Schizosaccharomyces pombe: one gene and its partner. Changing the gene in region 1 together with any one later gene gives a genetic interaction. Each region holds a gene or a part of one and is shown on either strand. Other genes may lie near its edges. The genes, in order: SPOM_SPAC24B11.07C and bag102.

What was found.
Region 2: mutations in SPOM_SPAC24B11.07C (region 1) and bag102 together harm fitness less than expected from each alone (positive genetic interaction), as found in Schizosaccharomyces pombe (one study listed by BioGRID).

What each region holds. Positions count from the first base shown.
Region 1 is NC_003424.3:208,339-213,585, forward strand, and holds SPOM_SPAC24B11.07C (oxidoreductase), read right to left. Parts: upstream 3,086-5,247; 5' UTR 2,694-3,085; coding exon 1,008-2,693; 3' UTR 501-1,007; downstream 1-500. Other genes in the region: COPII-coated vesicle-associated protein Erv46, read right to left, coding at 3,696-4,868.
Region 2 is NC_003423.3:789,843-794,060, forward strand, and holds bag102 (BAG family molecular chaperone regulator Bag102), read right to left. Parts: upstream 2,242-4,218; 5' UTR 2,038-2,241; coding exon 1,417-2,037; 3' UTR 822-1,416; downstream 1-821. Other genes in the region: protein ksh1, read right to left, coding at 1-54, 124-175, 248-357, 396-398; Tea1-anchoring protein Mod5, read left to right, coding at 3,419-3,478, 3,707-4,218. UniProt on the Schizosaccharomyces pombe protein: Inhibits the chaperone activity of HSP70/HSC70 by promoting substrate release.

The DNA of each region.
Region 1 (5,247 bases):
TCTTACCAAGGCTTTGTTGTCCAGATCTGAGATGGGTTAGTTGGTAAAGTTGTTAAGCCAGCTTTATTAGATCAACTTTTTTAGCTATTTGAGCTAGTATTCATTATTGAAATGTGTGTTTCAAGGAAAAAGTCTTGTAAGCTAACCCAATTTGTCTTTTGACAACAGTTACTGTTGAAAAACCCGTTCAATTATAGATCTGACATTTCATTTGATCCATAATGCTCGATTTCGTAGTTAATTTGCTTGTTTGCCTCTATTAGCCCAGCGTCCGCGTTTTGATTTCTTAGCGAGTTGTTAATATTATGGTTTCACGATTAGGCATTAATCGGGTCTGTACCTTCCACATTTTGGGACGAAATAACCAAGGATAATTAGGTGCAACAAGTCATTTTCCATTTCAATTTTCCTTTTACTTTATTAAAAAATTTTTAATTAAAAAAGTTTGGACAAATACCATTTAAAGTCTACGAGGAAATAGGACACAATACTACGTTAAATGTATGTTTCAATAAAAAATCAATTCAATAAAAGGACAAAAATTAAAAGAAGGGAAAATCGAAAAAAAAAAGAATGTGATGCCGAAATTACCATACGGCTCAGTGAGCAGATAGACTAAAGATACGTATTATATGGAATTCTTCGCCAAAGATACATGCAAAATGTAATAAAAGTTATATATATACATATATGATAGACTTATACCAAATTGCTTCCATGGCGGAGATAACCAAACGGGGTAAAAACAGAGTACTTTTAAAATATAGACCAGATTAAAAAGAATGAAATTATGCCTTCATAAATTTGATGCAAATGAACCCAATACGATGAGTGCTAACGCGTTATTCTTAGCGCAAATTGTTCGGAAGAAAATAAAAAAACATAACGTGATCCCCAAAAGAATGCTTAATAATGAGTCAGTAGAATTCAAATCAATAAAAGTTTAACACGACAATGCTTTTATAATGATAAAGGAATGAGGAAAACTGTGGCTCCGAAAGAGAGGTCTACGATTTCATGCGAGAAGTTCCACGAGCTAGCGGAAAGCGACGCATCGCATTAGGTATAACCGTCATTGACGATGTCTCAGAAGCCACAGAAGCTCGAGGTTCTACTCCCTTATTGTTGTTCATGAGAGTAAAATACGTTTCGGATTCACCACTGTCATCAGTTTCACCGTTTCGCGATTCCGCAGAATTAGAGTTGGAATTTGGTCTTGACAATACTTCATTTCCAAGTGATTGAGAAGACGAATTAGGATCACTTGGCGTACCAAATCTTGATGACTCAGGTGATATATTCTTGTGCGTATGCTCTTTAGCTTCAGGGGATAACACGTTTTTTCCACCACGAACAGGAGGTGAACCTCGAGGAGCAAAACGCGGATCAAAAGTTCGACCCAAGCCCTCATAATCACTCTTTAAAGACTGTTGCATTTGCATCAAAGAAGGAGAATACAAAGAACGTCTAGAGCGACGAGTTGTAAGAGACAACATATCCATATTGTCAGCAGTCATTGCTCGTCCTTTTGAAAGGGACGGAGCAGAAGGAATTCTGCCCATATTTGGCTTACCATTTTCGGGAACAGAATATGGGTGTAAAGGTGAATGTCGATCAGAAACGAAGGATGATGGATTAATAGGCCGCATATTAACCAAAACTTTGTTTTTCTTAGGTGAATTGTCCGTGGGCCCATGCATATCATTCATGTGATGTGGTTGAACGAGAGGAAGGTGTTGAATACTCGAAATTAATGCACTTATTGTTCGTAAACGAGGAACTTGGAGGGATTGTTTAGTAGCTAAATCAATACAATAATGTAAATACTGTACAATTTCAACAGGGCGGTTTGATCTATATTCTCTAAAAGCCGGATTCACCTGCATATGCGAAAGTAATGTTTCGCGTTGCTTGGAAAGTTTTTTTACATCCAAGGAGGATCCAAGGCAGTTACACAAGCTATCAAGCTCTTGTAATATACCTTGGTGCAAGTCATTGATATCGGGACGTTCTAAGAGCTTGGGCAAATTGGGATTTTGCGTGAGTACAGTTAATGGATAAAGAGAGAGGGGTAAAGCGAGGTCCTCAATTTCCAAGGGAAGCAATGTATCCAATATTTCAGATGAAATTTCTCCACCTTCCAAAATCTCAACCAACCTGGAAAGCTGGTCAATTTCGAGATTGGAACCAGCAGGAGCTAAGTAAAACGGAGCGCAGTCTCCAAAGAAAAATTCATCTACAGAACGTTGAGATACAGGTGTATGAGTAATGAGAGAAAAGATAGGGTTTTCAGGATATTGGCGTTGCAAAGCTTCTTCAACCCCAATGGCACCAGTAGAGTTATAAACAATACACGTATGCTTAGCAGTGATCACCGGTTCTAATATGTTGGACAATTGAAAATTGCGAGAATTAGGTTTGATTGAAACAAATACATAATCGAAAGGCTCAGAATCAGAGGTAACCTCTTCAAGCTTAGATAAACGATACGTCGGACGGTATTTACGAGTTCCGAATTTTTTCGATTGAATAGTGAAGACGTTAGTAGAAGGCTCGGGGGCATTGAAAAACATTATAGTTTCTTGGCATGTCACAACTGAGCTTTGCTGTAACCTCCAACCTAATAAAGTCGTGATGGAAGGGCTACCAACACACAAAATGCTGACACGCTCCTTTTTTCCTGCGTCAGTCATTTCAGTAGCAAATTAAAAATGACTCTTCTTAAAAAAAAATTATATTTACACTTTAAAAAAAAAACTCAATCGTTGGTTTTGGATTTCTTTTTTCGAGTTGAATTCGTTTGTTAAATCTTTAATAAACTCCACGATTCCATGCAGCTCTAATAACGACTATACTAAAACCGTTTTCACACGTAAATCGAAAGCTTTTCTAAAAGTGATTTATCCAAAGCAGCAAATTGTGGTTTGCTATTTTTCGAAACCGTTTCTATAGGATCACACCGTACAAAAGAGCGCTAATTGTAAATGTATGTATTTGGAAAAGGGAAATTGGTTTCCAATGGAAACGATCGGTTTTCCTTGTGGCTTCTAAGACGTATGATTGTCGGTCTCGGGGTTATGCTTATGGTAGAAGAGCGTGTATGGATATGACAACTCATACCATTCCGCTTGGCACGATCTTCCTTGGAGTGCACTAAAAAAAAACTAAAAAAATTTTGATCACTCGTACTACAAATAATACTTATTTTTATTAATACTTTAAGACAATTCAATTCATTTTAATTTCCTTTTTATTTAAAATGCTATAGAATCAAGACAATACTTTAGGTTCGGAAAGCGAATATATCTAATACTATATGTCCTTGTAAAATTGAATACACCAGATAGAAAGATCTTTATCTTTGTATGTTTAATTAGAAAGAAGACGAGTTTAACATTAAAAGAAATGAATTGAGATGTAGGGAAAGAAAGTGCGTGGTTCGTATGCTCTTCAATGTGAATATAGCGAGTGGTTGTTTGCTAAACGAGGCTAAAAGCAATTTGTGATTGATAAGCGAGTCATGAAATATCAAGTGGTATCAATTTGGAATAGTATAGGAAATAGAGTATCTAAAGTTACAAATCAGGCACTTGCCATGGAAACCGATGGTATTTACATTGATCGATAGGACCAAACAGAAGAAAAGAAAAGAACGAAAAACAAAACAAAACAAATTTAGTGCATAAACAATCTGATCAATTTTTCTTTAACTTTTGAACCTCATAATAGCCTCTATCAACAAACGAAGCAAGTGTAACGCAGCCCCCAAGCAAAGCTAAAACATTACTCAAAAATCCACCAAAGGTATTGCCACGTACTTGACGTTCAATAACACGCATAGGACTAATATCAAATTGAAACCATACACCAGGGATTCCGCCATGAAAGTTAACATGGGTAGGGACTTTTTCTTCACGACCGCCACGAATAGAACGTTCATGCTGTGTGACAGCATATTTGTTTGTGTCTATGGGAAGTGTGCTCTTAGACAAAGGCATGAATTGGTAGGAAACGCACTTAATAAAATATTCGTAGCGATAATCGGCAGTGCTTACCTTTTTCACTGTTCCATCTAAAGGATTGGAATAGTGGACAGACGCATCTAAAGGAGGGCCGAAACTAAGATGATGGATGGAGTGACTCATGTCATGCAAATCGAGTTCATTAATGTAGTCACGTGTATCATGAACATGCTGATTTCCGTTTTGAGTAGATCGTCCAGGAGCAATGTGGAAATTACCGGCCATTCGATTGACGGAGAGCTGACCAGCCAAGTTACAACCTTCGACCTTTTGAGCTTCATAAAGCTCCTTAAAGTTTTCATCTTTACACTGTTTAAAGGCATCAACGTCACCAATTCGCCAGTGTGCCTTACCGTACGCATCTCGAACGGCATCACAGGTATTGCAACAACCTGGGGTATCTTCAGGAGCAAAGTCGGCTGCCCCATAACAATCACCACATTCAGCGGCTCCGTCGTCAGAAATAGATTGTTGATTTCCAATATCCAAATCATCAACGCTTATAATTTCGCCCGAAGGGCTCAACCTCGTTTTAGAAACGGTATGGTGGATGTCACGCTGGAATTCACCACTGACATCCAAGACATCGACAGTAAGTATTTGACAAGGGATACGGGGGAAGGTGATGTTAAAATTGATTTCCATTCGATCGCCATGTGAGGGATTGACGATGATTTCATGGACTGCGATGACTCGCCTGTAATTGATCCATTCCATGAGAACAATAAAAATGACAATAAGTCCGGAAACGAGTGTTATAAGACCGCCACTAGCAGTTTTTATGCGAGCATCTTCGACAGTTTTTTGAAAGGCATCAAAACGCCTAAGGGGTGAACGGAATTGCATTTTTTGAAACTATCGGTCGATAGATACGTTTTTGTAACAATAATACAGAGGAAAAAAACGATTATATGGAGAAGCAGTTCTTTGAACCAACTTGAAAATACTTTTTTTGGATTAAAGGATTAGAAGGGCCCACCTCAGTGGTTCCAACTATGCACGGTTATGTTAGAGCTTTGTGAAATGCTGACCACCAAATCTTATATAAAATAATGTGCTTGAACTTGAAAAACGATCATTCCCAGAATGAAATATTTGGAAATTGTCGAAACAACTTGACTAAGGGGGCTTGAGGTAGTCGGGGAAAGTATACGTTGAGGGTCAACCCAAGCGCAGGACTAGAAGTAGGTTAATAGACAGAGGTGCAAAGAGGGATTGAATTAGT
Region 2 (4,218 bases), on another chromosome or scaffold:
TGAGGAACCGAAAATAAATCGTAAAGCCATAAAAACACAAAATAGTGATATATACTAAAGATAGATGTTAGATCTAGCCTTTTTTAAAAAGGATAATTAGCTAGTGAAATAGCTAAAACTCACCGGACTAGCTCGCTCACCAATTCGAGCGCATTTCCAGAATACCATTGTCACGCTGTCAACTTATTAGCAATTCCATATCCCTCAAAACTAAAATATTATATATCTAATAATCATTTAGGCTTACCCTTCTTTTCTTTTTTCTAATAAAGCAGGGAATTGACGGTGTAAATAAGTACATGTGCAGATCGTTAATAGTATAACGAAAAGCAAACTTTCAAAGTTAAAAATGGCAGTCTAACGGTTAATGTTTGTCTTAAAACAAAAATAGTTACCATTTTATTATACTCTGATTAAAATTTTCAGCTTTTAAAAAGCATGTAATTTCTGTGTTCATATATGAAACATACAATGAACTTGAAGTATGCTCACTTGTTCACATTACGACACACAAGACGTTGTAAATATTTATTACGAATTACAACGCATATTATTCGTGTTCTGATACACCGATAAATACCGATATATAATATTAAAAATATATTGAATGTTGGTGGACAAATGCTAATATATGTATGACTTTTCAGGAGGGCTGTATAAAGTATTTGAGGAAATTAAACTATTTATAAATGGGAAAGGGGAAAACATGTTACATAAATATTGAGTAACGTTTAATAAGTCTACATAATACATTGACGATGCAGTCAAGTCAAATAATAATGATAAAATACTTTTAACCTTAGTTTTAAATAGACATGGTTCTTAAATTTCAAAATAACCAGCTGTTCTAAATTTCACTCTTCGATATTAATGGTATAAAACATTGGAACGTTGAGTTTTTGTTAAGTGATTACGAAGGAAGTAAAGGATGTGGAGTTGATATGCTAGAATTGGTATACAGTTTTGAAATCCATTTATCATAAGAAAAAGTATTTTGAATTTGTAACACTATGACTATCCAACCTTCCGGAAGAAACAAAAAGCAATGACGAATGTTTACAAAAATTAATGATACGGCTGCAGTTGAGCAAATGTAAGAAAAAACAGTTGTAACGACAAAAATAGAAAATATGGCATTATGAATGCTTAAAGATTATGTATAAATTGAGAGTAGAACAGTTTAATAGTTGAGGAGCAAGCGGTATCAAAAAAAGAAAAACAAAAATTCAAGCCAGCATAAAAACTTAAAATTGGGTGCTACAAGTTGTTTGCAGAACCTTGGTATAGAAGTTGTTAGAAACGGAAAAATATTGTAGGAGTTGTTTAGTCAATCAGTTTTTACATATCCAAAAAACCATAGCCGACGGAACCATCGTCTCCCAAGCAACTAAGAATTGTTAAATTATAACACATTTTTCATTTGTTTTGATTCTTGGTGGAATCTAGTTTACTCAAATATTGTTGAGATAAACGAATAGCTTCTTTTCTTTTAAGACGAGCTTCTGGGTCGTCTTCAACATTAACAGCATCTAATTTTATCATCCTAGCCAACAATGTTTCACTAAGGCGTGTATGCAAATCTTGAACATCTTGTGCCGAAGCGGGAGACGATTGGCAGAAGGCTTCAATTTTAGGGACGAGATCCTGTTGAAGCTCATCTATATATGCTTCAATTTGTTGCATTGCCGGGCTCAGTTTGGGTAATTCGAGCTCTAATTCACTTCCATTTTGCACATTTTGGTCGGAAAGTGAACCATCCTTGAGGGTCACCCCGTTTAACTTGAGAGACGCTTTGTCGGGCATTACTGAAAATGCGTTGCACACGCGACGAAGAAAACTAGTGTAAGAAACCATATTCAGCCTTGGTTGTCGCAACACAAAATTCAACTTTTCGCCATCGTAATGAACAACGACAATATCTTCGGTTTCAGTAGCTCTCTTTTTCAATAATGCGCTAATCAAAACAGTAACTGACAATACAGCTAGAGAGATCCAATATTTTTTATCCATAGAACACAACTGGGTAAAAAAAGACATGTTGATTTCTCGATGCTTTTTCCTAAAGTCAAATGAATGAAGAAGTGATAAACCGGTCAATAAGCAAGACTAAATAAGTCTGGGTCTTTATCAGATTTCCTTGGTAAATGAAGGAACTGGTATATAAAAATTTAATTGCTAGATAAGAGAGAGGATGTTTTAAATTGGTGAGTTGCTCTCGAACCAATTTCGCATTTGGTGGTTACTATGTAGGTTGTGGAGATGATAGTGTTATGAATTCTTTGAAATGTGAGTTTCTCCTATACAAACATGATAAGTCCGAAAAATGATAATTAAAAAAAAAAAAAGCTGTTTGTTGCCAAAATCTTATTCTTTTTGTTTTTGTTAAAACTTCTGCTGCAGTAGACTGACATGTTGACCTCAAATATCTAGTTATCATTTACGTTCATGCATCAAATTAAACTAATTCAGTTTCGTAAAGATCTTGTTTTTTCTCTTTTTAAGTTTAATTTTTGTTTCTTTGACAAGGAAGGTACCGAAAAAAGCAATCCATGGGATGTGTTTGATAATTGAACAAAGTGTGAATCTGACTTTAACCAGAAGTAGTAATGCTCTAATTTTTTTTAAGAGAATAAGTAATACTCTAAGGATCTTTGATTGCTTTCGGCGTAAATAATTGTTTATTTGTATGTATAACTTTATTCTGAAAAGCAAAGAAGAAGTTTCATATAAATTCATATCAGCAAAAGCGCATTCTCGGTTGATTTTATCGTTTAATGGTTGAATTCTTGGGTATTTTATACCTCAACTATTTTTTCAAAATACTCTTCAATAATTTAGTGGGTTCTCCCATTTGATCGATTCAATTGTTGGGGACTCAAATTGCATAAAAATTGAAGAACAGGATATCATGCTGTAAACAATTCTCCATTTCAACTTTCATTATTGTTACTCGTCTGCAATACCTGGATATATCAACACTTACTCCATCACTGATGTGCTTACCTATCTAAGAGTGCATGTTCTTGGGGACGTCAAAAGTTATGTTTCCATCTTACATGGATAAAGGAATCAGCTCTATTTGCTCTCAAGGGTAATTTCTATTAAATATCCATCTATTTCCTACACCTGCCTGAGAACTTGCTCGAATTATTTTTAAAAGAATATTTTAGCTATAAAAATTTTCTTGTGACCTTTTAATATTATGTTTTTCACCAATTGTTCCATGAACATTACTAAAAAGAGGGAAATATTCTTTTACAAAATATTTAACACGATACCAGCTCAACTGAGGAAATTAGCGTCGCGATCCGCGTACTACTAATTGTTAGCCAAACACCGGTTTCCCAATTCCCAGTTTTGGATATTCTTTTTACTCTCTTTTTTGGCTCTAATTGATCTTTTTCTTTTATTTGATTGCATGTCGGCTTTATCTGAAAGCCCTGCTATTCCTTCTTTTTGGAGACCTGAGACATCCGAGGTATGCTAATTTTTTAAGAAGATCAGAGGTAGTTTCTCTTATTCTTTATGTAAGACATGAAAGTTGCACCTGTACGCAAATTGCAGCTGTTCAATTTGTTGAATGGAGCCTTTCTTTCCGAGTACTACCCTATCTTGCCTGTTTGAAATAATGATTTGCTAACAAGTGTTGCTTGGGCTGCCCCCTTTTCACTAGTTAAGGGTTCAGCTTGCTGGCATTAATGATTAGATATCAAAAAAACCTCGACCAAACACTACCGTCGGATTTCAATTCGATAATAGAAATGTAGGTACAAGTGCTCCTTCTACTCCTGCTATCCGGAGAAATAATACCGATAGTTTTGAACGAGGTCTTTCTTTACCATTGCCAAGCAGCAAGCAAGATACTGGTTCAAGTGTACTAGATCCAGACGGAGATGCATACGTAAATCGATATGCTCGTCCTGTTACAGCAGGTAGTATTTATATTCCAAGTAATTACCACAAGTCTTTTTCTCCCAATACGTTTTCTGGGTTTAATGTAAAGAGAAGCGCGTCTAAATCTCCAAAAAGAAGTGCCAATGGTTCAACGTCAGAGGATATTAGCATTGAAGGATCTCCCTCTGAAACAGCCAAGGGAGCTAGATCATCTTTTAATAGTAATTTTCGAACCTTTGACATTGGAAGTGAGCGCCGAAGGAGAATATTGGAAGCATCACAGGACTCATCTCGTCCGGGAAGATACTCTTATAGGACAAAAAG